Regions from separate parts of the Mus musculus genome. Here regions 2, 3, 4, 5, 6 and 7 are each reported to be linked to region 1. The links are microRNA targets in miRTarBase. Many come from high-throughput screens and were not tested one by one. Region 1 holds a microRNA gene; each other region holds the end of a gene's coding sequence.
The links. The annotated mature microRNA mmu-miR-26a-5p reads UUCAAGUAAUCCAGGAUAGGCU and lies in region 1 at 2,613-2,634, shown strand. An mRNA with a match to its seed (bases 2 to 7 or 8) in the 3' UTR can be bound and repressed. Matches are read on the target gene's strand: a 7mer-m8 pairs with bases 2 to 8, a 7mer-A1 pairs with bases 2 to 7 and ends in A, and an 8mer does both.

Region 1 (4,067 bases):
CTTCCCAGTGTTGTGCTGAGGGGCGATTGGGCTTACTTCTTGTTGGGCACAGCTCAGCAGCTTGGCTCTGCTTTTAGATCCCTGGGACCTGCCTGCTCCCCGAGGTGACAGAGCAAGATCAAGGCAGGATCTGCGTGGTCATTGACCTGGATGAGACCCTTGTGCACAGTTCCTTTAAGGTGAGTCAGCGTGGTACCCTTCCCTTGGGCCTGTGTGAGCCGCACAGCAGGGTCAGTAAGGTGAGCAGATGAACGTGGAAATGACAGGGACAGGACAGGCTGTCGGCCACCCTGGAGTCACAGATACCCAGAGGCCAAACTGAAGAGGTTAAGGCACACACACACACACACACACACACACACACACACACACACACCCCACCCTAAATGCTGTGTCTGTCTCGACTTACCGTGGAAAAAGTAGGTAAGCATTATCTGGTTTTCCTGACTGGTGCGTTTGTTAACTCAAGAAAGCCTTAAGTTGGGTGCAGAGGGAACTTCCACAATCCCTGTGCTTGGGAAACTGAGGCAGGGAAATCACAAGTTCCAGAATAACATGAGTTACCCAGTAAGAGCCAGTCAGTCTTGAAAGAGCCAGGCATGCATGCTTGTGTGCATAGCTCACGGAAACAGGAGATGAACACGGCTAGCCCAAAGAGCCAGGCATGCATGCCTGTGTGCATAGCTCATGAGAGCAGGAGGTGAAGGCTAGCCCAGACTATGTAGCAAGACCCCATCTCAAAAGCCCTGAAACTTACCTCAGGTAGAATTTGGTGGGTAGGATGGATGGGTGGATGAAGGAGAAGGGAAACCGGAAAATATGTGATACTTTTTGCCCTGTGCTGGCTAAGAACTGCTCAGTGGGCTGTCTCCAGGGGGTAGGGTTTCCTGTCTGCTGACACTGTGCACTTCTGCCTTCTAGCCGATCAACAATGCTGACTTCATAGTGCCTGTAGAGATTGAGGGGACCACGCACCAGGTGAGCTGTTTGCCAGCATACACCCTGCCTCAAAGGGAAACTGCCTCTCAACCTGTTTATCATCAGCTTCCATGTTTGTTGATGGCTTGTCTCCAGATCATCCACACTTCCCTCTAGCCAACACTCCTGTCTCTATGTAGTCAGGCTGTTTGCAAGAACTGTTGGCTTTTTTAAAAATATTTTTAAAGAATTATTTGTTTTATGTATATGAGTACACTTAACTGTATTCAGACACACCAGAAGAGGGCATTGGATTCCATTAGAGATGGTTGTGAGCCACCATGTGGTTGCTGGGATTTGAACTCAGGACCTCAGAAGAGCAGTCAATGCTCTTAACCACTGAGCCATCTCTCCAGCCCAGGATAGGGTCTCTTTATTTAATTCTAGCTGACTTGGACCTCACAGAGGGCTGGAGTTAATTAAAGGCCTTCACCATTGTGTGCAGCCCCTGGCATTTTCACATCATAGTCCTAGCCATCACTGTGGCTTTTTAAATGTGCATTACTGGTTTTGCCTGCGTGTGTGTCTGTGTGAGGGTGTCGAATCCCCTGGAACCAGAGTTACAGTTGTGAGCTGCCAGGGGTTGCTGGGAATTGAACCCAGCTCCTCAATGAAGAGCATATGCTGTCCAGCCCATGCAGTCCATGCTTAGACCAGGCGAGCCTTGCTCTGTGTGCAGGGCTGTTAGGATTTGCTCCTGTGCCCTCTGGTGAAGAGCTACTGAATGTGTCTTCCCTGGCCCAGGCCCCTCCTATGACACCTTTCTGACCTCTACACTGGTTTCTGTAAGTGCTCCATATGCATCTGTCAGAGTGGCAGAGTCCAGGCTCTGCCGTGTACACCCTGCTGCCTAGGGTTAAGGACCACGAGGCATTGGTGAGAGACCATGTGCCCAGAGGCATGCTGGTCGGCCCAGGGGAGGGCCGGAGACAGTGATGCAGACATCCTAGCAAGCATGAGACCTGTTTTCAGACTGAGAAAGTTCAGCTTGAGACTGTCCTGGGTTTGTCATCGTAGCCCTCTGCCCCTTTACGAACTTCTGTACAGAGCCTCGAAGCTGTGGCTCTTTACTCCACCCATCACCCCCTGCTGTCTAGTTGAGGAAATAGAAATGTACAGAATGTATGGGGCTCTGGCATGGGCAGAAGGGGCCTGAGTGAGAGGGCTGCCTGCCATGTGGATCTGAGGAGAGCCTGGGAGGAGAGCAATGCTTGGTGAGGAAGGGGCTTGTTTGTGAGGCTTAAGAAGTGGAAGGTGATGGATAGATCCATTTGCAGCTGCATGGAGGGTTCTGCTGCTAAATGGGAGGGCTCTGCTCAGTTGGTGCTGATGTGGGCTAGGAGGGACTGGGGTGGGCACACCCCCTGTGCTGCTTTAAGGAAGTGAGTGAGTGGGCCTAAGGAACACTTGTGCAGGCTGAAGTAAGAAAGAAAGAAGAAGCAGCAGATCATAGACTGGGTGGCGAGTTAGTTGAAGAACCTTTAAAAGCGAGCAAGTCCTCGAAGCTGGTGGTGTGCACACAAACCTACGAGGGTGTGTGTTTGAAGAAGTTTGTGGTTCTTGCCAGATGGGACCTACACAAGCCGTCCTGCTGGAATCCCGTACAGAAGGCTACTGTGGAGGCTGCGGCTGGATTCAAGTAATCCAGGATAGGCTGTGTCCGTCCATGAGGCCTGTTCTTGATTACTTGTTTCTGGAGGCAGCGCATGGTCTGCCCTCAATGAAGATGGCTCCTGGGAGTGCATTCCTTCCTGCCGGGTTAGGGTTGGGCCTGTTGAGGCAGCAGAAGCCTGGTAACATGGTAGAGCTGTCCATGGTGGGGCAGAGGTCTCAGTGTCTCGACCTGGGTATCTAGGCCTGCTTGCTTTTCTGTCAGTGCACAGGCAGAGCCGGTGCTGTGTCCTTGGCCTTGTGGGGTTCCTACAGCAATCCACTCTGTCTCCCAGGTATATGTGCTCAAGAGGCCTTACGTCGATGAGTTCCTGAGACGGATGGGGGAGCTCTTCGAATGTGTTCTCTTCACTGCCAGCTTGGCCAAGGTACCTGACTGCAGGAGGGGCAGAAGGCAGGGGAGAGCCAGCCCTCAGCCTAGGCTAAAGCTTCTCCTTCTTTTCCAGTATGCTGACCCTGTGACTGATCTCCTGGACCGGTGCGGGGTGTTCCGGGCCCGCCTGTTCCGAGAGGCTTGTGTGTTCCACCAGGGCTGCTATGTCAAGGACCTCAGCCGCCTGGGAAGGGACCTGAGGAAAACTGTCATCCTGGACAACTCCCCTGCATCTTACATCTTCCACCCAGAAAATGCAGTGAGTGCTCGCATCAGGGACTGGGGTGGCTGCAGGCTGGGCCCGTGGGCTTTATCAGAGGAGTCCACAACCCCTGTGTGGCCCAGCAGCCTCCAATGGCACTGGAAAGGAAAGGAAATATCAGATAATGTCACTTTTTCCTGCCCCAGGTGCCTGTGCAGTCCTGGTTTGATGACATGGCAGATACAGAGTTGCTGAACCTGATTCCAGTCTTCGAGGAGCTAAGTGGAACTGATGATGTCTACACCAGCCTTGGGCAGCTGCGGGCCCCTTAGCCTTCCTGCTCCAAGAAACGGCCATCCCAACAGGGGACTCTGCTACACTGTGCCTTTGTGGTCAGCCTCACTGACGGGGTCTGCAAGTAGCCAGGGCGTGTGGGACAAAAGCAGGTCACACGCAGAGCAGGAAATCAGACCAAGACCCAGAGCTCTCTGCACCCCGTGCTCAGTTCCCAGGTGGTTGTGTGGGTGTGTGTGCGTGCATGTGCCCGTCCGGTAAACTATGGTCCTGGGTGCCCAGTTGTGCAGTAGGGGGAGAAGCTGAAAGATAAGGACTCAACCCAAGTCATTTGTCTTCTTTCCTGCTATGCTGTGAGCTACTGAGCTTTACAGCCATGAAAACTATTGTAGGCTCCCTCGCCAAACCATGGCTTTCCCTCAGCATCAAGACCTGTGCCAAGGAGAAGGGAGAGGCCGGAGGCTGCTTTGGATGCCCAGACACACATCTTTCAGAAAACACAGAAACCTAGCCAGCAGCTGCAGACATGTTTGGGAATATGAGAGCATG
Region 2 (4,067 bases), not on the chromosome of region 1:
GGAGATTTGTAGAGACTCAATGATATAGGGAGCCATGGAAGGTTCTTGAGCAAAGAAATGACAGCTGGATCCTAAAGTGCAAGCCCTGTCCTTTACGGAGCCCTATGGTAACCCTGTCAGCACACCAGGCCTGGATGTGCAGGGAGCTGGTGCAAAGGCCTTCTCTGTGCAGGCGAGCTTCTGTGTTGTGACAGCTCATGCGTGTGCTTCTGTGTGCTGAGTGGCTGCATGTCCCAGATCCGTGCTGCACGACGTATTGGCCGGCAATGGTGCTGGGCACTGGGAGGTGGGAGGGAGATATATGCGTGTTTGTGGGCATGTGTGTTAACGTGTGCACGCAGGGCCTTAAGGCCTCACAGCATGTGTGTGCACGCCCAGGCGTGTGCGTGTGTGTGTCCCCTAACCCCCAGCCTGGCCCACCTGTGTGTTTGTGAACTGCCCTGTTGATTTCGTGCTGTCTTTCAGAATCACTATCAGTGACCCCTGAGGAGTGTCAGCTACGGTAGGTTATGCTCTCAGCCTGCTGCATGAACAGTGTGTCTACCCCTCCCTCCTCGCTGCACCAGCTCCATGCTGAGGACACCTGGGACCCCTGAGCCAGGCCCCTCCTCCTTCTCCTGCAGCTCTGGACTCCCTCTTCCTGTCCTCTTCCAGCTGGCTCTCTCACTTCCCTTTCCAGTGAGCCTCGGGACTCAGCGCCACTACTCAAGGCCTTCTTGCTTAAACTGAGGGCTCTTGGAACAGGTTTCATGTCCAAGACGGTAGATGTGGGTGCTCCCTGGAGACACCAGACCACTGTTGACAGTGTAGGGACTAAGAACTAGGAGAGGGTGTCTTCAGCCTCTGAAGGGGCCAGAAGCGTTAGGACCCCCTCTTCATACCTACTCTGAACTATGCTGCCAAGATAAGAGCTTTCTCCTTCCAGCCTAGGAGCATGGCGACTAAATTCACCACAGGGCAAGCATGAGAATCGCGCTGGCAAAGCCAGGCTCTGACTGGTGACTTTAGACAACTTAAGAGCCTTTGCCTTTCTGCCAGCGCCTGAGGGCTCGCAGGCAAGGTGAGGATCTCATTCATCCTTGACATTGCACACCTGTAGCTAACAGCCACCTCGTCAGCCCCCGACATAGAGCCAGCCCATCAGCTCCAACATTTGACCTGTTTTCAGAGTGACCTGTGCCTTTTAGCCGAAGGCAATGCATTGTCTACTGACTGGGAAAGTCAACTTGAGTTCTGCCTGGCTGGCCACAGATCTCGGTTACCCTGTCCCAACTCTTCCCCAGCCATTGACGCTCACCCTTCTGCTTTTCCCCAGCAGGAAGGGCCCAGCCTCACCTACGAGACCTGCAGCCCCCCGACCAACGGAGGCTCCCCTCTTAGACTTATAAGTCTGTGGCCGCAGGCATCGGCTGCCTGCCTCCCAGCCTCCCCAGGGTCCCCTCAGAGGACTCCTGACTTTCTGACCACCTGAGGGGCCTCCAGCGCTCCCTCCAGCCATCCCCTTTAGCTTCAATCTCCTGGTTCAAGCACTTCTGGCCTCATGGCTGTTACATGGGACTCCCTGAGGCTTGGGGTGGCCCTGAGCCAGTGAGATGAGAGACAGTGAGCAAAAATGAGGGAGGCCCTGTGGTGCATTGCCTGGGTGGTGTGTGAGAGGCCGTGTGTGTGGCAAGAGAGGGCCACCAGCCTCTACTCAGACTACCTGCTAGTTACGGCCCAGCACCCCATCTTCCCTTTCATTCATCAACTGTGCATCTCTTCCGGGAACCCTGCCCACATCCACACCTGCCTCAGCCCCTGCCTCTGCTGGAGGTGGCTGCTCTTGCCTTACCAGCTCTCCTTCCTTTTCTCTCTTCCGTTCTCTCTCGGCTTTCTCTCCAACTGCCAGCCGATCGGGTCAGGCAAGTCCGTCCCGTCCTGAGAGCCCCAGGCCCCCCTTCGACCTCTAACCAGATCCCTCCTACTCCTCGGAGACCTCCCTTACCAAGCCTGCCTGGACAGCTGTTCTGTGACTTGACAGTGGCTCCCCCGGCCCCAAAGCGTCCTATTCATCATCTGTGACTTAGTCTGTTGTAGTGGTGAGCTGACACATCCAGATGTGATGTTGGTGAAAACTTGTGCCCCTCTGTGGTATTGCTCCTGCGACATTCTATAAATATCTATAAATATACCTATATATACATATATATACATATATATGGCTGACACAGCCTCGCCTGTAGTGTCAGAATCAACCACCATGCTGTCCTTGTGGAGTCTTGTGGTCCAACAAGGGAACGCTGTCATCCTGACAACCCCCCCTCCAGTGTACCACCTCCAGTGAGCCCCCCTGTCCTCCTGGCCTGTGAACAGCCATCCCCTTGGCCATCCCAACCCTGCAGCAAGGGGATGCTGCAGCAGCAGCAGCTGTGCAGTTCTCTGGTAGCCACCAGTCTTGCTGTCTCTTGGCTGAGAATAAAACCCATTTCTGGATCATGGGGAATTGCGTGTACCTCTGCTGGTTTGTATTCTCTGGGGCTGAGAGGACGGTGTAAACTGGGCACTGAATGGAGGGTGAGGAAAGGCCCTTGCTAGGGTGCTTGTGAGTTTAGCAGGTCCTCATCCTACGAATCCTGCTTACACCACTAGGGGGCAGTATCATGAGCTCAGCCAGGATGCTGTGAACAGCCTAAAGAACAAAACAGGTCTCTAGTGTGGACAGACTAAGGGGAAGGGTCGGAATGTAAGAGGCCTGGCCTGGAAGTCAGCGCCCTTAGTTGCTGCACCCCGAGTCCCACCTATGTATACTATATGTCAGGCTTGACTCTCTTACTCAGTAAGGAAGCTCTGTCCCTGTAGCCCCATGGTACTCCCCCTGGGGTCCCTAGGCTTCAATAGGCAGTGTATAGGTGATAGGTGTCAATCAGCCCTGCCAGGCACTTCAGACCTTGGGCTCCATACAGGCCAGAAGCCTGCTCTCTCCAGGCAGGACACATTCCCTGCTCAGTGCCAGCCTGAGGCTAACCCCAGAACCAATGACGAACACCCTAGGCCCAGCAGTATGGCTAAATCCATTTATTTCCCAAGTAAAAAGCAAAATAAAGAGGAGCTGCATCAGCAGGTGCCACAACCTTGTCTCCGCCTCCTGCCCTCTGACCTAACACTACCAATAAATAAGGTTCCCAGCCCAAAGTGATTATTAGAAGCTCTTCCCATTTGCCAGCTCCAACCTCCACTATGATACAGGGGTGTCCCTACCCCGGTATATACAAAATAGTACACAGGTACAATATGTACACCGGGGGAGGGGAAGGCCACCCTGCCCCAGCAGCCTCTGTCCTGCTTGGCGTAGTTACCCCAATTGTCATAAGGCCTGAGAGAATGGTACCCACTTTCCCTGTCCCAAAGTGCCTCAAAAAGATGGAAGCCCTCCAAAGTGGGATGCCTTCCTGAGGCAGTTAGCCCCAACTGCCTGAGGACCCATGAAGTGCTGCCCAGCCCCACTGCCCTAAAGTGCCTCTGAGAAGATGGGAGTTGATCTGGGGACCTGCTGTGCCCTGGGTTCCATCCCCAGCATCACCACACAAAGGAAAAAGGCAGGGAGTGCTGGGGGTAAATCACTTGGTAGAGTGCCTGCTTAGCACTGCCAACCACCAGGCACAGCGGTGAGGCAGGGGCTCAGCTCGGGCTACAGGAGACACTCCGTAAAGAAAATGAAGATAAAATGGGGGCGGGGAGGAAAAGGAGGATAGGGAGGACTGAGCCGGTGAAAACTTAGAAGCCCTGCTGAATGCTAGGCCAGTTTACCAGCCTGCACTGCACCTGGGCACGAGAATGCTGCCACTCTGTTCTGCCCCAGAGTCCTGAGTAAGGCCTGAGGCCCTCCTTGGTGAGAAAGCCCCCAGGCCACCCAGCACAGTCTGCTCCATCACTGAGTCTCTGGCGTTCTTTCTGTAACAGGAATTTACAAAGTAAAACTGCCCTGGCTAAGAGGCAGATCTGTACCAGTCTGTGTCCCCCATTAAGATAGGAGCCTGATCTTTTGGTTTTTTCAGACAGGGTCGCATGTAGCCCAGTGTGGCCTCAAA
Region 3 (4,067 bases), not on the chromosome of region 1:
ATGTATGCATGTATAAGTGTGCATCTGTGTCTTCACAGGTCAGTAGACAACTTGAGGAAGCTGGTTCATTTTTATTTGTGGATTCTGGGGATCAAATTCAGGTAGGTTATCGGTTTTGGGTATTTACTTCTTTTTTTTTTTTCTTTTCTTTTTCTTTTTTTCTTTTTTTCTTACGTATTTTCCTTAATTACATTTCCAATGCTATCGCAAAAGTCTCCCACACCCTTCCCCGCCCCCCCACTCCCCTACCCACCCATTCCCATTTTTTGGCCCTGGCGTTCCCCTGTACTGGGGCATAAAAAGTTTGCCTGTCCAGTGGGCCTCTCTTTCCAGTGATGGCCGACTAGGCCATCTTTTGATACATATGCAGCTAGAGTCAAGAGCTCCAGGGTACTGGTTAGTTCATAATGTTGCACCTACAGGGTTGCAGATCTCTTTAGCTCCTTGTATACTTTCTCTAGCTCCTCCATTGGGGGCCCTGTGATCCATCCAATAGTTGACTGTGAGCATCCACTTCTGTGTTTGCTAGGCCCCGGCCTAGTCTCACAAGAGACAGCTATATCAAGGTCCTTGCAACAAACGCTTGCTAGTGTATGCAATGGTGTCATCGTTTGGAGGCTAATTATGGGATGGATCCCTGGATATGGCAGTCTCTTGATGGTCCATCCGGGTATTTACTTCTTTTCACACACTTTTTTTAAAATTTAAAGCCAAAAGACTCTTTCACTTTAACACTTAAGAGCCACTGTATGGTTGTTAATTGGTCTAATTTTAATATTGCATCTCAATGGATAGGAAGATCTAAAGAGACAAAGACTGGGGAACAAAGAGTCATGGAGCAATCAAAATGCATTTATGTGAGTAAGTTTGCAGTGTTCTATGTGTATAGGTCAGGATATCCCAAAATAATGTGATCAAACCAATACAGTGATAATTATAGTTTGAAATATTGTAAGAATTACTATAATGTGACAGCTATGAAGCAACTTTGCACCATTTGAAAATGGTGTTGATAGTCATGCGCAGTTGAGACAAACCTTAAATTTGTAAAACATTCATATTATCTTCAAAGCACAATAAAATGTTATGTCTATTCATAATTTTTTTCTTGTGAGATTACACTAACTACTATTAAGGCCATTTAATATTTTATTAACTTTTAATGTGCTGCCCTGTTATTCAGTTTGACTTTCTCTAATAACATAAAAGTTATACCACATACAGAGTCACTAACACACCTCTCCACAAATATTTCTTGTAGTTGACTTGGTTTTTAACTGGCTGTGGTTCTTTCTCATAAGATATTTAAATTTCTTGTTTTGTAACGTATGTTTGCCTAGGTTTCTAGCCTTTTAATCATACCATTGCCACTTTCAGGCTGTATAAGCATTTTCTGAAATGTCTAATTATATTGTTTCAGTCAATGAGATCCACTTGAACATTTTTGCTGTTTTAAAAAACAAGCAAACCTCATTTTTAACTAAAGAATGTCTGTAAGGGTGACCTGCTGACTTGGTTTACACCAATCCCTTTAAAGTTCTGGTAAGCACAACAGCAAATGTTCTATCTTAGCTAAAAGCAAACTGTGGGACCAAAGGAAAATCAAGTAAGCAGTGTTTCACGGTGGTAAGAGAAATCCAGTATTTTAGAACATGAGACCTGCCATGTTATAAATCTCTGTAACATGACTCTATGAAAACAGAGCATGTAAGTTAATTGTGATGTGACCATTTCATTTGTGTGGATAATGAAAATTTAAGTGTATTTGTATTATTTTCTATACACATTTCAATTATTTAATGAGCACCCATTAAGTAAAAAATATTGTAGAAAATAACAAGAAGGTATTTGAGGAAATTAAATTATCTCTTCAATCATCACATATAGAAATTCTGAATTTAAAAGTCACATAATTAAAATCAACTAAACTGGCAGAAGTATTTCTTAAAACAAAAGCATGCGAAAAAAATCACTGCATGATTGTTTATTTAAAATATGACTCTGGATGTAAATACATATGGACTTACATAATGTTGTTATTCATATAAACTCTCAATTAAAATGCTCAATAGATCATCCCTGAAGCATTTTGATTTTAATAAACACGATAGTAAATTTTCTTTCTTATGGAAAGTGTTTAAAGCCTTTTGAATCTTGATTTGTGAAGAGATTACTAAAAAATAACTTAGCTACATCAAAGAAAATATTGTTTGTAATGTTGTCACAGATTCCTCCATGGCAAATAGTCATATATTGCTATTGCACAATTTACAGGTACAGTTTACTCTGTGCATATAAACTCTCTATAATGACAGTGTTTTCACTGTAACTTGCTCACTATATTTAAAATATGAAATACAATTACAAAACCTTTAACAATACACTTTTATAATAAAAGTATCCTGAGGATATTACAAAATTCATTTACCAGCCCTTCATTTCTTTGCTTTGACTCTTCAATTCCTAATAGTTTTCCATATTTCATTACATAAAAATGGCCATTTCTGGTTCTAACTAAAAATAAATTTGAGCTAAATAGTATGTAACTGTCCCTTAAACACTTATTCTACAGCCAGTCTCATTGGCTAAAAATCAAGTATTTTTTTCAAGTTTTTTTTTATAATTCTGAATCAGAAAAGATATAGCACAAAACAGACAGAAATAGGGTTATCATATTTAAGATAGAGGCATTGTAAATTTTAAATATTTTGGTCAAATTTTATAATAAAATAATATTTTGGCAAAATAATAAAATATAACATTTATTTCCTATCAATGTAGATCTGCAGGGCATTGTACATTTGTAAATACTATACTTAAATTGACTGTTTTCACATTTGATTCTAAAAACACTGCTATAACATTTTTAGAATTTTTAGACTAAATTCATCTTAAAAGAAATAAAATTAAAACAAAATTTAACTAAAATGTCTGATCATCAAAACTGCTGACAAATTTTTAATATAAAATGCCTTGTGTGCCACACAACATCTTTATTGCCTACTGAGACTTATTTGATTCAGTATCTTTAAAATAATAATAATAAATTTAAAGCTTCTTAAAAGTAACATTAAGGTTAAAATAATTTAAAAACTTAAAAAAAAACCAAGAGTTTTATACTGCGGCAGTAGGTGTTATGGCACAAAATACATGAAAAGACTTGTAGCTTCTGTTTCTGTATATACAATATCAAGTAAGATGTATAAGATATATATATATATACACATATGCACACATATATACATACACATAAATACATTTACATATACACTTCTGGGTTATAGGAGGGAAAGAGAAAAACGAATAAACTCTTGGATTCTCTTATCACTGAAGTCCCAACAGCAGTTTTAGTGACAATGTCTTATCTTATCTGTATTTATATGAAGTTTTCATTATTAACAGGAAAACAATTAGAGCTGTCTGTGTGACAGAGAAGTGAGAAGGTGGAGAGTTCAGTGGTGAGTGTTCTCTTGGTCGGCACCTCTCTTAAGGGTTTTACTGTCTGTGGACTTCATGCAGCAGTGCTTGCAGAATTTATAACAATGAGAAAACAAAGTCTCTCTAACACGATGGCATGTTTACTAAAATATACTTTGAATAAGTACGGATACAACATTACTCATACACTCTATGTTAGGCAATAATATCTAACGCTGAATGACCTGTTATCTCTTAAGGCATCAGTGCATCAAGGGCAAAGCTCCATAAAATAAATATGAAAACAAGAAAGCATTAGTTCATCCATGGTGCAGGTGATTACTGTGCATTGCATCTGCTCGCTACTTCTACAAACAGGTAATAAATCATATACCCTCTTGTGAAAATGTTATAGCATAAATTTCACATCATTTTTCAACACCTCGTTTAAAGGGCTAAACTGATCCGGCAGGATCCTCATTTTCATTGTTCCATCAGCTCCACAAGAGAAAATGTGATTTGCTGGTCCTGTCTCAATTTGCATGACTCCAGTTCCAATATTTCTAAAAATAGACTGCCGAGCGTGTTCATTGATAAAAGTATGGAGAAGACTAAAGGACGAAAGACTCCAAATCTGAAAGATATGAAGG
Region 4 (4,067 bases), not on the chromosome of region 1:
TACAGAGGCATGAAAACGAGTCTGTATACAAGGCCTCATTGAACTTAATTGAGAAGTACTTCTCAGTGGAGGTAAGTAATGGCCATGTCCACAACATGGAAAGGATATGAGAATTCACAAGTACCTTCAAGCCAATGGGCTTGATCCTTTGTATATGATTCTTACATTACCCTATCACAAAGAACAAGCATCAGTGCAGCCAAGATTTGCTGTGTGTGGGTGGGTGGGTGCGCGCACGTGTGGCTAGTACTGGCTTGATGGTATATGATGGTTATATGAACAGCCTGGAATTGTCCCAGCATTCATGAGTTAGCTAAGCTTTGGCAACAAGTTTTCTGCTAGGTGCAGGCTTTGAGACAGGGTTCTGCTAGAGATGTACCATGTTTATGGTTATATCTTACCTTACTATTTCCAGGAAGAGGAAGATCAAAATGTGGTGCCAGAAACTACCTCTGAAGGCTTCGCCTTCCAAGTTCAGGATGGAGCTCCTGGGACCTTTAACTTCTAATGTCCAGCTAAGGCACAAAGTTGTTAGCTATGTGCTGTGCTATTCTGTGTTCTCATAGATTTGTCTTACTGTTTCTCTACTAAGAACTCTTTTTAAATGTGGTTTGTTATTGTAGCACTTTTTACAAAAGAAACTATACTTGAACAGTTATAAACTGTACATACTCTATGAAGCTGTCCTCTGAATTTATTTCTATGTGGAATTTCGTACCCTGTCATGTCCTGTAAATAAAGATTAAAGTTCCATTCTTTACTCTGACTTGCTGTTTTCTTAATTGAGATTACTGTTGGAAGTGAAAGGTGAATAGGAGATGTTGATTGAAAGTGAGGCAGTGGTGGCAGAGGCAGGCAGATTTCTGAGTTCAAGGCTAGCCTGGTGTACAGAGTGAGTTCCAGGACAGCCAGGGCTACACAGAGAATCCCTGTCTTGAAAAAGTGTGAGGCCTGGATGTGTTACCGGTATGACTCCAGTGAGGTAATAGGATATAGTTGACATCTAAATGCATTGCTTCCTATGAGAATAAATTCTTAGCAGAGACTTTCCTCAGAAGTCCAAAACGCATGTTTTTGTTTCATGACCCTGTGAGCCAAATTCTCTATGGCAGAATGGCTTTTCATATCCACTGGGTGTAATGGAAGTACTACACAGCCACTGATTCCTCTTCATGGTGTCAGTGTCTAAATAGGTACAGGTTTAGTGATGTACCAAAATTTCTTTGGTATCAATTTCTAGTTGTGTTTCGTCTACATGTATATCATGTGCATGCCTACAGAGGCCAGAGGAGGGTTGTTAGAGCCTCTGGAACTGGAGTTGACGTTGGAACTGCCAAATGGAGATGCTCACAATGAACTCTGGTCTTATTGTAAGAACAGCAAGTATTCTCAACCACTGAGCTGTCTCCAGCCCTGGTTTCTTGTAAAGTTTTTGGTTTGAGACAAGATCTCTATGTAGTCCAGGCTGTCTTAGGGCATAATATGTAGACCAAGATGGTCTCAAACTTAGATCATCCTGCATCTACCTCCCAAGTGCTAGGATTAAAGGTGTGCACATGAGCTTCCGTTTTGATTTATGATGTCGTGCCAGTATGTATGTCAGTGTACACATGCATGTGGAGTTGCAGTTATGAGCTGCTATGTAGGTGCTGGGAAGTGAACCTGGGTCCTCTCCAGGAACAAGTGCTCTTTCAACTGCTGAGCTGTTTCTAGAGATTGGCTAAGTGTTCTTAGCCAGTGACCCAGCTCTCCAGCTCTCCATCTTGTTAAATAAAAAGGATATTGCTTCCAGCACATAGGGGCAGAGGCAGGTGGCTTTATGAATTCTAGATCACCCAGAGTTATATGGTGAGACTTTCAAAGCGAAACAAACTTGCCAGGCTGGGTTATAGTTCAGTTGACCAGTACAGATAAAGCCCTGGGTTGGATTACCAGCACCATGTAAAGTGGGCGTGGTGGTTGCCCTTGTGTGCTTCTGTTGCTGAGATAAAAATACCATAACCAAAGGGATTTGTGGAGGGAAGGATTTATTAAGCTTATAGGTTACAGAGAAGCCAGGCCAGGAACCTGGAGACAAAACCTGAAGCAGAAGAACCCGGTTTAGTGCCTTGTTTCCTCTGGTTTGCTCAACAGAAACCTTCCATAGACTACAGTAGGCTAGCCCACCTGTGACAATGAGCAATCCAGAAAAGGTCCTACAGACACAATAGAGGCCGCAGCTCAGTTGAGGTCAAGTTGACAACCATGGCTAACTATGACAGTGGTTCGCTGGAGGCAGGAGGAGGCAGGGCTCATAGCCATCCTCCATTAGGCAGTAAGCTTGAGGTCAGCCTCAGCGGATGAGACTGTCAGGTTTTCACTTTCTCAATTTGGCTTTTCTTAGCTTTTATTTTTTTATTTTTTTATTTCCCAGAACTAAGTAAATTAAGAAGCCAAAATTCTTTGCCCAGATGGTATTAGTTTCTTTCCATCCCACCAAGCTCTTGGGTTTTGTTTATACAAAGCCTGGAAACCTCAGTGAGTGGGTGGGCCCACGTTCAGAGGCATTAGGGGCTACAACAACTGGCTAGTTCCCTCCCTCTGCCCTTGCCCAAACCCAGTGGACTGGTTTTGGGAAGCTTTTAGGTCATATCAATTACTGGGGCCTTCTTTTGAAATTGGGTTGTTGACCTAATTTGTAATGAACAAAAACCTGGCCGTGTGATGTCATCCTCCTTCCCAATATTCCCCACTCCCACCCCTAGGAGTGTTAGTGAAAAGTGTTCTAGAACATCAAGGATTTAATGTTTTGTTTTTCAAGACAGGGTTTCTCTGTATAGCCATGGCTGTCCTGGAACTCACTTTGTAGACCAGGCTGGCCTCGAACTCAGAAATCCGCCTGCCTCTGTCTCCCGAGTGCTAGGATTAAAGGCGTGTGCCACCACCACACCTGGCTGGTTTTTTTTTTTTTTTTTTTTGAAATGACAAAAACCACCCAGTCTATCAAGTAGGGCTTTGAGGGGCAGCAGTGCAGTTGAGTTGCAAGCATTTGTGTGTTAAATGCAGTGGTGTTGGCATAGTTTGAAAGTATCATTCTGATGTCTGCAAACCCCTAGTTCCTACTAAATCCTTGGGACAATTTCCTAGACTGTATGTGAATTACATGCACCCCGCCCTCTGGACTGATGAGTATATTGCTGCCAAGCTCTCGGTGGTAGCTGTCTGCCCTGAGCGAGCCAGAGCCTGGAAGCACTGGTGTTTCAGGGAAGCCCCAGCTGTACATCGAGGCTCTGTGGAGGAGCCAGAGAGATGGCACAGCTGTTAGGCATACAGCCTGCTCTCTTTCAGAGGGCCTGAGTTCAGTCCTCCACATCTGCATCAGTGGTTCATAACCACCGCCTGTGACTCCAGCTCCCTTCTTATGCCTGAGGGAACCTGCATGCCTGTGACATTTGTACACGTGGCATGCGTGACTCTCCCCCACATAGACACATAAATAAAAATAAACATTTTCCCGCAAACATTTTTATTGATTTTGGGGGAAATTTATATATCATACTACCTTTTTTTTTAATACTTTTTTTTAAAGATTTATTTATTTATTATATGTAAGTACACTGTTGCTGTCCTCAGACACTCCAGAAGAGGGAGTCAGATCTCGTTACAGATGGTTGTGAGTCACCATGTGGTTGCTGGGATTTGAACTCCTGACCTTCAGAAGAGCAGTCAGGTGCTCTTACCCACTGAGCCATCTCACCAGCCCTCACACTCCCTTTTTATTCCTCTCAGATCTACCCTCCCACCTTTGGGTCCCCACATTCCCCCCCCCAATACAGCATGTCCAATTTGCATTACCCAAATAATCATTGGAGCATGGTCAAAGTCCACTCCAAAGCATGGAGTGAGTGCAAAAAAGATACCTGAGCCGGGCATGGTGGTGCACGCCTTTAATCCCAGCACTTGGGAGGCAGAGGCAGGCAGATTACTGAGTTTGATGCCAGCATGGTCTACAAAGTGACAGCCAGGACAGCCAGGGCTACACAGAGAAACCCTGTCTCAAAATACAAAACAAAACAAACAAAAAAAGA
Region 5 (4,067 bases), not on the chromosome of region 1:
GGTGGCACCAATGAGATAAAGGCTCAGAGCTCACCACGTGGGAGCTGTTTGGGACACGCTGGCTCTCCAGCAAAGGAGTCTGCTGGCACCAGTGTACACCCAGCCAGCTCAGCCCAGCTCAGAGCCCGTGAGCTGTGCTACTCTGTCAGCACCTTGGTGAGTTGTGCCCCCTGCTGGCAGAGCGACATACCACAATGAGAACATACTGCTCCATCCCGGTTCCTTGACCATCTGCTCTGCCCTACCTTCAGACAGACACACTCCTTTTGCCCCTTCTTGTCTGCCCTCTTTCACTCAGCATAAAACTGAGGCCCACCCATTGTAGTTTTATGCTTTTAGAAAACTTTTCTGGCTGGGCAGTGGTGATACACGCCTCTAGTTTCAGCATTCAGCATTCAGGAGGCAGGGGCAGGTGGATCCCTGAGTTTGAGGCCAACCAGGTCTACAGAGTGAGTTCCAGGACAGCCAGGGCTACACAGAGGAACCCTGCCTCAAAAACAAAACAAAAAAAACAAAACAAAAAAAAAACCAACAACAAAAAACAAACAAAACCCATCCCTTATTATAAAATTGAGGGCTGTGGGCTGCAGTAGACCCGACAGAGCAATGTTACCTAATGTATACAAGGCCCTTGGTCTGATCCTCAGTTCCATTAAAACCATGACATGAGAGAAAACCTTACAAGAACGAGAACTCCCAGCTCCTGTGAAAAAGTGTTCTCTCACAACTTAGTGTCCAGTAAGGGGCTCCAGTGCTAACCTTTAGTGATGCGTGTCTATACAAACAAACTTCACTTGTTGTAAACATCACTGCCTGCTCATGGAATTATTAAATAATGAGGATGGATAGGTGCACTTTATAAAGCCAGGCTTCTTGGTTTGAAATGACCTAGGTCAACCACCTCCCTATACCCTGTCTCAAGCACAAACCTTGCAGCCTCAGACATTGCTGGCCCTCTTGTGACGTAAATCTGTCACCCAGAATTGGCAGTGCATCACTTGGACTTAGAATACAATTGGAAAGAACTTTAGTGTGTAACAAGACGCCCTTCCTGCTGGCCCAACTCTCAGTCTGAAGCAGTCCCACAAATCCAGAAGGTACATAGCTCCCATCCAGACAGACAAACAGCAGAAGCCAGCAGGAGCCAGCTCCCACTTACGGTGTACCAACTTATGGACAAGTGTGACCTGGCTCAAGGAGTGAGGTCCAAGGACTCTTGGGAGAGGCTTTGTTGTGGATGTTTGGAAACCACTTCTACACTATTCGGTCAAAATCACACACAAGATAAGGCTGCCTCACTAGTCTGTCTACCTGACATTCACAGAGCCCCTTCTGTTACAGGATGCTAGGCACAGCAAAAGAAGCTGGGAAGTTGACTTCTGCGCCCACAGAGCATCAAGTATGAACTGCACTGAACATTTAAACTACCACAACTCAGCACCTACGTCACTTAGACAAGGAGTATGCTGTCTCCTCTGGGAAGTGGAACAGATTACATGCATCTCCTAAACCTGTGGTGTTGGGTAAATATGTTCTAGATATAATCTTAGCTGTAGTAGCATATTCTGATAGACGGCCCCCACATTCCAGCATATTGGGCAGAGAAAGCGACCTGGAGGGATGGAGCTGTCTGTCTGTCTCCAACATGCTACTTACCTGGTGAGGATGCAATGTGGCAAGGGCTTGCTTGCTGTCACTACAGAGGCTCTTTCTGTTGCTCCAAGACAAAGCCCAGGACCTTGATGTGCACAGGTAGGTATTTGTGCAACCAAGAATAAAGGACATCACAACACCAGGGAAAATATTTTATTTACTATGTCTGAAGTTTTCAGCATTTCTGTAACATGCACAATTCAAGTGTAAATAAGAGAACAGAAAGCACAATTGTTTAAAAAGCCTTTATCAATTACTGGTATGTCACAGCCTATTGACAATCCCATAGAACTTAACTTATTTATGCTTGTTTGCCTATTTGTTTTACTGTGTGAGTACATGTGTGTGGGGAGTACATGCATTTCATGGCACATGTGTGGAGGTCAGAGGACAACTGGAGAAGTCACTTCTCCCCTCCACCACGTGGCTCGCAGGGACTGAACTCAGGCTGGGCAGCACATGCCTTCACCTGCTCAATCATATCACTGCTCCTTTCCCTGAAGAATGTTAAATCTTAGAAATAAGAATGTATTGCAGACCTTCAAGATTTAGTTCTTTGTATCTATAAACTTCTCTGAACAGAAGTTAACTACAAGTCAGGAACCCACAAAGCCTGGAAGGAAGTTGTTTTCCAGGTTTTCACTAAGTCAGTTTGGTTACGTACGCTCTCAAAGATGTCCCGGTTGTCCCTTGACAGACCTGCGCTGACAGGCCACTAGTGATGTCATCTCACGCACCGAGGGGCTGGCTTTGTGGAGACTGGTTTCCAGTTCTGACCCTCCACCTCCTGTGAGATTCCCGTTCATTAGCAATGTCCACCTCGTAGGGCACGCATGCCTCAGAGCTGCTTCCTACCCCAGGAGCAGGCCCCAGTACCAGGAGCTGCCCTACAGCACATATGGGGCATGCTTTCTGTGTTTAGGCATTGACGAGTCCCCTGTCCTGAAGTGGGCCCAGCATATCTGCCCCACGGCCCTGTAGGCTGGGCAGCAAGGCACGCGTGTGACACCAAGTCTTGGCAAGTGTGAGGTAGGGTCAGCACAGTGATGTTCGAAGCTTGACACCAGATGAGCAGGTAGGATCCAGGCCCTCTATGCCTGTGTGCATGAGTGCACGCTGACCAGAAAAACACTGGAAAAGCAGATGGTGACACGGCACGGTGACACGGCACAGACCCAGGCGCAGACAGGTGAGACAGGGCTTTGGGTGTGGATTCCTTCTGGATGACGTATGTTTGCTTCCAAATGTATATGGCTTTCGAAGGGCTGGACACTGGGCACTGAAAACATCATAGACAGGTGACGGGAACTGGTGCATCTGATTTGTAAATCTAATTCATCACTCAAAAAGAAGTGTTTCTCATGGAAAACGTCCTTTTAAATATAAAATATATTAAAAAAATAAGAAACTTCTCAGGAGGCAGCATCCAGGCCTATAGTGATAACCTCATTAGAAGTGAACTGGCCGACCAGCTTGTCAACAGTTGGATATGAACCTGCTGGACCTATCCTGTGCCAGCCACCCTGTGCAAACTGCAACAGTCTCTTCTAGAGAAAATGAAAGCAAAGCATCTAGTAAATCTAGAGATTTGATAATTCAAAACTATCCATCTTGAATACCAAGATTAAAAGCAGTGGGCTCTCGGGCAAGGCCACCTTCCTGAGGCGTGTGTTTAACAGCTTGGACTTGTGTAAAAGATACGTCATTCTGAGGACACAGGTGCTGCTTTGAAGCATAACTGTAACATGATTCCAGTTTGGAAACGGCTGGTGCTCACCGTAACGTCAGGAGCTGGACAGCAAGCTCTCAGCCCTGCGAACAGGGTCTACGTTGCTTTCTCTAAAGACAAGTCATGCAGGCGGCTTCTAAAGCACTAGGTCTGCCCATGTCCCCGATGTCCCGAGGCGCTTCTGTGTGTCTGCACGTCAGCCACTGCAGCCTTTAAGCAGAGTAAGGGTTTGCTTCATGAGTGGACGAGGAAGACTCTGAGGTCAGCGACAAATGCACACAGCAACCCACGCAGCTGTCTCCTCCAAGACACGCCCATCCTACCCGCCATCCGGCTTTTCCATCTAGAAAGGGCTGCGTCTCCCGCCTGTGACCACTGGCCGTGCGTATTCTACAAAGTCATCTATAAGGACAGGCCATGCTCCTAAAGGGAAACAAACAGATTTTTAAAATAAGTCTCATGCCAGTATTTTTATATTAAAAATATTCTTTCCCCATTCTAACATCTAAAGAAACAAAGGAATCTGAAGCTTATGCAACTTGTGTCTGATCACATGACTCGCTGAGTCACTTCTGTTCCAGGAAATAGGGTGAGTGAGTGGTGGGCTTGATGTCCTCGAGACCACATTCACTGATCATGCCTACATGGTGGCTTCTCAGGCCTCAGCCGATTCATAGGCAGTCAG
Region 6 (4,067 bases), not on the chromosome of region 1:
ATGTTTTGTAGAAGTGATACATATTTACCATATTATTAGTTTTAATTAAGTATAATTTTGATTAGTATAAAGTATCCTCTGCTGAGCAGAACAGTTATTAGTTATTACTAAATAATTATAGCTGAACTTAAACTTTTTAAAGTTCATGTATTGAAACCTTATATTTCGTTACATTAATTTTTGAGATGGGGTCCCATTATGTCCATGCTGGTTTCAAATTACTAGGCTCAAGGTATCCTCCTGCCTCAGGTTCCTGAGTGGCTGAGAGTATGACACATACCATGGTGTTCAATCTTGCATTTTAAGGCATACTGTCCATAAACTCCTTGTATGCAAATGTATATGAAGATTTGTAATGCATTAGATAAAACTGAATAGTTGATAACTTTCTTGTTGACACATTACTTTTTTTTTTTTTTAAGAATCTTCAGCTAGATGAGGAAACCCAATATCAAACTGCTGTGGAAGAGTCTTTTCAAGTAAACATGTGACATGTATAGACATCTCTGCCTCCTTGCAACCTACAAGTGCCATCTTTAAGGAGAAGACATGAAGTCACCATTTTCAGTAATTTGCTGTGCATATTAATAAAAATAATAATTCAGTCTACTGTATTAGGTTTTTAATTGAAAATAAAGGTGGGCCACCCTAATACCATTCTCTAGACAGTTACTTTAACAGCATGGAAAGGGTTGTATTTCACTTGTGTGGTGAAAAGAGAATCTCTGTTGTCTTTTTCTTCCTTGTATTACATATTCTCAATGTTTCATTAAGTTGTTTTTGGTATTTGATATAGTTCCTTCTGTTTAGTACAGAGATAACAGCAAATTCTGAACGATGTGATTCTTAAAAAGCTAATAAACCTGAGCCATTTGTCAGAGCTGTAGAATGGAAACTTGAAGTGTGAAGTGGGATAATCCAAAGGGATTTTTTTTTAAAGTATAGATTCTAGCTGAGGAATTCAACAATAAGAAAGTTGTATTTATGTAATGTTTAGTATTTTTGAAGACTAGTGAGATTTCTTTAATAATTTTTACTTTGAAAGCATATTGTACAAATGTTTCTTCTTTTGCTATTAGAAGAACATCAAGAGAAGTTTCCTTTGGTGGTTAGTTTGTTATTTCAATCTAGGTTGAATAATTTGTAAGCCTAAATGTTATATACCACAGTTCTTTGTAGTCAGTATTTCTCACTGGGTGATGAAACTTTTCAGCCAGTGAATGATACATTCAATTAGTTTTTTAAAAATCCAAAGTTGCAGATGTATGTGGATATGTACATAGACTTTTGCATGTATATATACACATATATATCTTTGCCTAGAGTTTGTCAGGTTATGTATAGAATTTCTATTAAAAAGTTTTAATAATGGACAAGCAATATAGGATTGAAGTATTTATCTCCTTTGTTTAAAATTTTGTATGTTACCAAGTTTTTAAAACAGTAAGCCAAATACTATGTGGTACAGTTGGCTGTTATTACACCTGAAAAATGTTAAATGGTGCTCACTTGTTACGTTTGAAAATGATGCATAACTGACGTGTGGTGAGAGATTTTACCAGCTACTGTTTCACTACATTTTAGTCAAAACAAAGTTTGTTCTTAATCTTTGGTATAAAGTGTTGTAGAGAAGGCCAAGTCACAAAGTAAAGGGTGAAGGGGGAATTCTGACATTCCACACTAACATAACACTGTTATGCTTTCTTTAAAATAACTAACCGCAAAAGAAAATCTCTGAAGTAGTTTGCTGCTAATATATACATATATTGTAAAAAAAAAAGGTATATTTTGATTTTCTTAATACCCTTGTTGACTTTTCTACAATGAACATTTTTAAACTTGATTTAATAAAAATGTTAATTTTGGATGTGCAGTTTTGTAAAAAACCTTTTTCAGTTAAACGGTAATGACTTTATTTATGTTCAGTAATATAGACTCACAAGAAGCCATACATCTTAATGCCTTTTTTTCTGTTGTTTCTTGAGCGTGATGTTTACTGTGTTCTCTAGCACTTTGAGTTGACATACAAGAGTAATTCTAGGAACATCTATATGATGAACCCTTTAAAAGGAGACTTCTGTCCACAGTCCTCTAGTTTAAAGCAATAACTTGGATACTTTTAAAGTTTTATTTAGCCAGTGTGCTCCTAAATCATCCTGGGATGTACAAACTTAAAGGGAAACTTGTACTAGAGAGGGTTCCTGTTTTGAAGTCTTGTGGATGAGTTATATTAATAGATTAATAGCTTTTTCATGAGAATTATCTTTTTTTTTGCATTAGTAACTTCTTAAATATAGAAAAAACTTTTTAATTCTTCTTTTGTCAGTGGATTAAGAATAAGGATTGACTTTAGAATTTAATTTATGGGGGCGCACCTCAGTAGTCATGTTTAATAGCTATCAGGATAAAGGAGAGAAACTATAGCAATATGCTGATACATCAGTTTCACAGTACCAGTTAGAAAAGCCACTTCTCCTTCAACTTAGTTTAGTTTATGTCCATAAACACAGTGTTGATTGAGATGTATTGCTTTACTTTTCAATTAAAATGGTTTTCTCCTACTTGTGTGTCTTAATTAAAATTTGTCCTCAGACAGACATTTTTAGGTCTCATAAGACCCTGCAAAACATGTAGGAGATTTTCCATTATTTTCACTTGAAAAAGTTGTCAGGCTGCTAAGTGCTGATATTACCACTATACATTGGGTTAAAATTTAATACACAGTGGGTATAAAATTTTGTTTTTATGTATTTCCAGTGTTAAACATCTGCATTAAGCCATTTCATAAAGTGTCCATTCAGCAAGATATTTCAAGTCCTGTAACCGCTGCGGCCACACTAACTGGGTGGGTACCTGAGTGGGAGGCAGGAGCTGTATGGAAGGAAACGGTGAGAGAAATAATGGAGGCCAAGACATGTTTCTGTTCAAGGCCCCCCAAAGTTTACTAAGAGTCTGTGCTTATAAAGGGAGGAGGCCCACCCCCCCCCCCCCCCCCCCCCCCCGCCAATCCATTCTAGATGCCTGTTACCAGCCTGTAGGCGGATGTGTTGAGTGCTGTCTCCTGAATATCTCAGGGGCCTCTCAGCAGGTCTTGGAGAAGGGCAGTGGCAGGTGACAGAACAATAGAGCCATCTAAGTCCACCCCAGATCGTCTCATTCTCATTGGCAACAAGGTCAAAGTCAGCCTACTCCAGGCTGGGGGAGGCTACAAAGTCCTGTTAGCATTCAAGCAAAAGGTCAGCTAGTTGACACGTTTAATGTGAAGAAATCAGCTATAGTCAAGATAGGGCTCTAAGAATATTTTGCATCTCTGTGTTGGGTTGCTTTTGGTAAGTATTGCTATCTTCAGTGAATTGTAGATCTTATATTCAAATAGACTCATCAAAGTAATGCTATTGTAGCTTATGTAGAAAAGGTGTGTCCTGGCAAACACCCAAAGATCCATGTACAGTTTGTAGTAGAGGTGGGTATATTGCACGATTATACCTGTTTTGTAGTTTCAGTTCTACAGTACTGGGGAAAGGAGAATGGAAACAAAGCATAATAGGTTGTATATTGAGAGCTGGAGAGATGGCTCAGTAGTTAGGAGCACTTGTTCTTGTAGGGGACTTGGGTTTTGTTCCCAGGACTCAAGGTGGTTCATATCCAGACATAACTCCATTTTCAGGGCATCTGTACATGTAGGTAAAACACACTTACAAATCTATTTTAAAAGGTATTTAGAGAGTAAAGGGGGGATAGAGAGAGGGTCAGGGATGTGACTCACAAGGTAGTTACAAAGTACTTGCTGACAAAGCTTTGCAACTAGAGTTTGATTCCTAGAACTATATACTAAAAGGAAAGAATTAACTTCCACAAAGTTGTTCCCTGACCTCTATGGCAGTGTGGCAAGAAAATACCCCATTATTTAATTTTTTTTTAATGACAGATACAAGGGCCTTGTGAAAAGAGAATGACCAGCCCTCCACATCTAACAGCACTTGCCTGCTGTGGGCTTGAGAGAGGCCATCCACACTTATCCTCGCTAGTAAAAGATAACTGTGTATTCCAATCCTGCTAAGGTACAA
Region 7 (4,067 bases), not on the chromosome of region 1:
CTCTCATGACAACAGAGCAGGCCTGGTGAGAGTCACAAATACAGGAGATCCAACAACTTCTCAGTCACACACTTCTATTGTTAAAGGTGATGGGGTTTTTATTCTTATTAGTCCTGGGGAGGGGCGTGTGTGCCACCTGTACCACCTGTGGAGGTCAGAGGACAACTTACAGGAGTTGGTTCTCCATTTCTACAATGTGGGTCCTGGGGACTGAACTCAAGTGTTGAGCTCCTCTATCTACTGAGCCACCTTGCCTGCCTTAGATAATGGGTTTTAAATAGCATGTTTTTATAGTTTTGGGTTTGAGTCTTTCAGCCTTTGTGTTCCCTACTAATACCTGAGGCAGAATTTTACTTCTGTAACCTCTTTCTGTTCTCTTATTTAGAAAGAATTTCCTACCCTGTGATTTTGGTGGGGTTGCACTCAGAATCAAATGAGATGAACAGACACAAGATATAGTCCTATGGAACGTGGAGTACACCTGTTCCTCCTGACACTGGCTCAAATGGGATGAGAACCTCTGAGGTACTACTTCCCTCAGCAGGCAACACTTAGCTAAGGAGCAAACACGAGAGGACACAGGACAGTGCTGAACCACTGTGGTATGACCAAGTAGGCATCAATGGCCATGGGAACACAGCAGAAAAACTCAGACTAGGTGGCTTCCCACCATTTCCAGGCTCCTGAGACTTTTGTGTTCACTTCCATTATGTAACCCTCCCACCCCACCCACCCCAAGGAGCTCCTCGGGCATGACCCCTATAGCCCTTTTTAACTGCAGTCTCCTCCTCACCCTGCTCTCCTCTCAGGTAGCAGTAAGAGATCCCATCTGACCTCTCACCCGGGAGTCTCAGCATCAGGAGCCTGGCTGGCCACACCAGGCCTAAGGTCACACCTGTCAACGCTGATACAGGTAGAACTGAACCTGCTTCCTGCAGCATTCTACAACCACAGTAGGTCCAGACACCCAAGTGCGAGCTTGAAAAGACTGCACCACAGCTGCTAAAAGAAAAAAGCAAGCTGTGCCACACTGTTACATCAGGGAAGAAGCAGAGGGAGGGGACGAATAAAGAAAAGAACCAGAAACTTCTGGAAGGAGATAACTCTCCTGTATATGAAATGCACAGATGATTTAATGTCATTTTTTCTTGAATTTCTTTCTCGGGGTATGACTGCAGAAAATCAGATTACAAGACCATCATCACAACCTAGATTTATTACAACTGACCTGCAGGCAAAGGGTAGACTATTCCATAAACATGTGGGCTCCATGGCTATGTCTTAAATAGAGGAAGGATTCAAACAAGAATACAGGATAAAATATTCCAAAGCTCCAAGAAGCAGTTATGTTACTGAGCTACATTTTTACAGACAAATAAGGCAATATCCCTGCACATCAGCTTTTTGATAATTTTTATATACTTTCATATGGTACAAGAGAAAAATAACCAGAGCTCACAATGTACAGTTCTTACACTATTTTCACAGTTTGTGAACACTATACACCCTTTTGTTTTAATAAAGATACATTGTAATAAATTCCTTGCCCTTAAGTTTATAGTTTATAATAATCTATGATTAATACACTAAAATTGCCTTTTTATGTGGCCGCCCACACAGCAGAAAGTGAGATAGCTCCTGGACAGTCAGAATTACTTTGATCTCCATTTGCATAACGGCAGAGTGAGGCTATACTGAGCCAGACAGGAAGCTGACAGCAGAGAAACAAATTCCTCTTGAGTCCTGGGAACAACGGAGGACAATGGCTTGGTGCAGCTTAAGGAAGACATCTCATGATGTCTCCTTGTGGAACACAGAGAATCTAAGGGTAGGGGGCCAGGGGTGGAAAATGGGAAAATTAGGCAAGTGGACCAAAAGATAGATCATTTTTAAATCCTCCAAAGAGAAGGGATGTAACTTCAAACAGCACCATTTTCCTTTTATTGTTTGATAGTACTTTGAGTGCCACTCTGGGGGAGACACAGCAGTGCCCACCAGGAATAGATCCTGGGAGGGCATCACCTGCATAGCAGGCATCCCCTGCACGGCAGACCACTACCAGTGCTGCTTAACTGCTATGCAGAGCCTGACGCTCAGTACCTGGCTAATGGGCTGAAGACAAGCAGCGGCACATAAGATGAAGTGGCTTCTTTTCGTTTTGTCTTTTTTGGGGGGTTTAGGTGGGTAGAATTCCACTTCCAAGGGAGAGAGTGAACTGGTAGAGGCCTCAGCAGGTGTCAGACATGCCTATCTGAAAGGCTGCCATTTAGGATCTTTATCCTGCTCAAGTATGCCTCTCCAACAGACTGCCTCTTTCTCACGTACAACATCAACTGGGCCCAGCTGTCTCAGCTTTCTGAACACCAGAGCACAGGAGAGATTCAGGGTTACAAATTGTGGTAAGTAGCATCCCTGGTAATGTTAGGGTTCCCAATGTGAAAAACAAGGCAGAATACTAGACTGAGCAAAAGCCGCATGGCGACAACGAACTGTGGGGAAGGGAAAGAGTTAGAAACTGAGGACCTGGCCCATGATGTCGAGAAGCAAAGCGTTGTGATTTGGTGTTTTGCTGCCTGCAGGAAATCTTCATCAAGGCACATTGCTACTAGCTAATTCTCCCTGTTAGTGAGTTACGATGGCTCAAGTCCCAGGCTTGGGGCCAAGGGGGAATCTATAGCTGCTACAAGCTGTTCTGGACAAAATGCCAGAATCAAAAACATCTGTAAACTTTGCCCTCAGTACTGTTTCCTTCCTTCAGTCCTGGTGGTTGGTGGCAGGTAGAGCATCAAGTTGGCAGCACCCTTCTATGACAGGTGGCAGACTCCTGTATCTTCCCAGAGAAGAGCAGGGCTGGAAAAGGACAAAGAACACATTCTGTCCTGTCTCAGTATTTTAATGTTGACCTCTCTGAAAGCAACATGGTTTTTGGTAAAGATAAATTCTAATTTAACATGATATTTTGAGTAGGGAATTTGGCTGAGCACATCGCGTGTGACGGTAAAGCAACAGCCTATCAGATGAGGAAATCTATTGCACTTGGTGAAGAAAGGGAATCCTTCCTCTGTCTCCCAGCTGCAGAAGGCAATGTGTCTCACTGGCTGTGCAAGCTCTTCTCACTCAAGCCCGGGTTCTCTATGCTCAGACAGTACATCCATGACTGTGTCTTTCCAGCCTTGGAAGTCTCACAAAACACCATTCCAGTAGCTGCGTCTCCAGGTTTTGAGTCTAGAAATGAATTAAGGTGTGATCTAATCACAGTCAACAACTTGATCGTACTGACTTCCACGCGTCATGAATATGTTCATCACAAAAGAGCAGGATGAGGTCTCTCTGACCAGCACTAACACTGTGATCAGTCAGGTATTACAGGGATGCACAGTCTAGATGACAGAAGTATACAGACATGATGGAAACGAACACCAGTCTTATTGCACATGGTGTCTGGGCGAGCAATAAAAACACTGTGATACAGGATGAAAACTCTTTACGTCTTGCTTCCCCTCAGCCCTTTTTTCTAGAGTCTGATGTAGCAGCGGTATCAGTCGACATACATGGGCGAGCTGGGAGTGGCTGGCATCTGATCCAGGATTTTACAAACATAGCATGCGACCTCTACAGTACGTTCTTCATACATCAAAATAAAGGGATGTTTCTGCGAGAAAATTGAACAGAGAAAGCGTCAAACATTTGTATCAGAGCCCTACGTCAGTGCTTCTCAATGTCTATACAATACAGTACTATAAGCTCCCAATCACACACAGCTTCAATATATCATAAGAACGGCACTCATCGCATGAACATTTCAGTGGATGGATGTGGACACCTTAAATGTGAGGTACTGCATCACCATCTGGAGGTTGCACCCTGGCAGTGAAGTCTCAGAACTGTGTACAGGGAGTATTTGCTAAAGAAGAAAACAGTTGTTTATTCCTTACCACACCACCTGAGATCCAAGGACTACAGGAATCTCAGTTGAGCTTCTTAGGACACTAGAGTAAGCCACTGGTAGCTCAAGGATCTTTGAAAAGGTTCTCAGTTTCAAACCTTCTGATTTCTACTTTTAAAAA

Region 2: the mRNA of Dnm1 is a reported target of mmu-miR-26a-5p. The part of its 3' UTR that is shown has no 7-base or 8-base seed match.
Region 3: miRTarBase lists Dmxl1 as a target of mmu-miR-26a-5p. Seed matches in the 3' UTR shown: 7mer-m8 at 3,190-3,196, 7mer-A1 at 2,605-2,611, 7mer-m8 at 2,593-2,599 and 7mer-m8 at 1,603-1,609.
Region 4: miRTarBase lists Kpna2 as a target of mmu-miR-26a-5p. Seed matches in the 3' UTR shown: 8mer at 645-652.
Region 5: miRTarBase lists Dcun1d2 as a target of mmu-miR-26a-5p. Seed matches in the 3' UTR shown: 7mer-A1 at 1,853-1,859.
Region 6: the mRNA of Rnf138 is a reported target of mmu-miR-26a-5p. Seed matches in the 3' UTR shown: 7mer-A1 at 895-901.
Region 7: the mRNA of Map2k4 is a reported target of mmu-miR-26a-5p. Seed matches in the 3' UTR shown: 7mer-m8 at 2,285-2,291.

What each region holds. Positions count from the first base shown.
Region 1 is chr10:126,992,931-126,996,997 of GRCm38, forward strand. It overlaps Mir26a-2 (microRNA 26a-2), which reads left to right and starts at 2,600; the gene lies at 2,600-2,683. Ctdsp2 (CTD (carboxy-terminal domain, RNA polymerase II, polypeptide A) small phosphatase 2) reads left to right here. Exons shown (of 8, transcript NM_001113470.1): 4 at 78-179; 5 at 922-978; 6 at 2,925-3,017; 7 at 3,096-3,281; 8 at 3,431-4,067. The coding sequence ends at 3,556.
Region 2 is chr2:32,306,886-32,310,952 of GRCm38, reverse strand. Dnm1 (dynamin 1) reads left to right here. Exons shown (of 23, transcript NM_001301737.1): 22 at 466-502; 23 at 1,889-2,482. The coding sequence ends at 487. Golga2 (golgi autoantigen, golgin subfamily a, 2) reads right to left here. Exons shown (of 26, transcript NM_001080968.2): 26 at 3,040-4,067. Among named protein-coding and RNA genes, the nearest start is that of Gm23363, 9.3 kb to the left of the region's middle.
Region 3 is chr18:49,962,157-49,966,223 of GRCm38, reverse strand. It overlaps Dmxl1 (Dmx-like 1), which reads right to left. Exons shown (of 43, transcript NM_001081371.2): 43 at 751-4,051. The coding sequence ends at 3,827. Among named protein-coding and RNA genes, the nearest start is that of Gm33335, 65 kb to the left of the region's middle.
Region 4 is chr11:106,985,328-106,989,394 of GRCm38, reverse strand. It overlaps Kpna2 (karyopherin (importin) alpha 2), which reads left to right. Exons shown (of 11, transcript NM_010655.3): 10 at 1-71; 11 at 416-766. The coding sequence ends at 508. Among named protein-coding and RNA genes, the nearest start is that of Gm39424, 12 kb to the left of the region's middle.
Region 5 is chr8:13,254,172-13,258,238 of GRCm38, forward strand. Dcun1d2 (DCN1, defective in cullin neddylation 1, domain containing 2 (S. cerevisiae)) reads right to left here. Exons shown (of 7, transcript NM_001024504.2): 7 at 1,792-3,805. The coding sequence ends at 3,726. It also overlaps a transcript of Adprhl1 not described here. Among named protein-coding and RNA genes, the nearest start is that of Adprhl1, 2.0 kb to the left of the region's middle.
Region 6 is chr18:21,025,664-21,029,730 of GRCm38, forward strand. Rnf138 (ring finger protein 138) reads left to right here. Exons shown (of 7, transcript NM_207623.2): 7 at 423-2,561. The coding sequence ends at 491. Among named protein-coding and RNA genes, the nearest start is that of Rnf138, 26 kb to the left of the region's middle.
Region 7 is chr11:65,687,153-65,691,219 of GRCm38, forward strand. It overlaps Map2k4 (mitogen-activated protein kinase kinase 4), which reads right to left. Exons shown (of 11, transcript NM_009157.5): 11 at 1,092-3,652. The coding sequence ends at 3,539. Among named protein-coding and RNA genes, the nearest start is that of Gm30786, 29 kb to the left of the region's middle.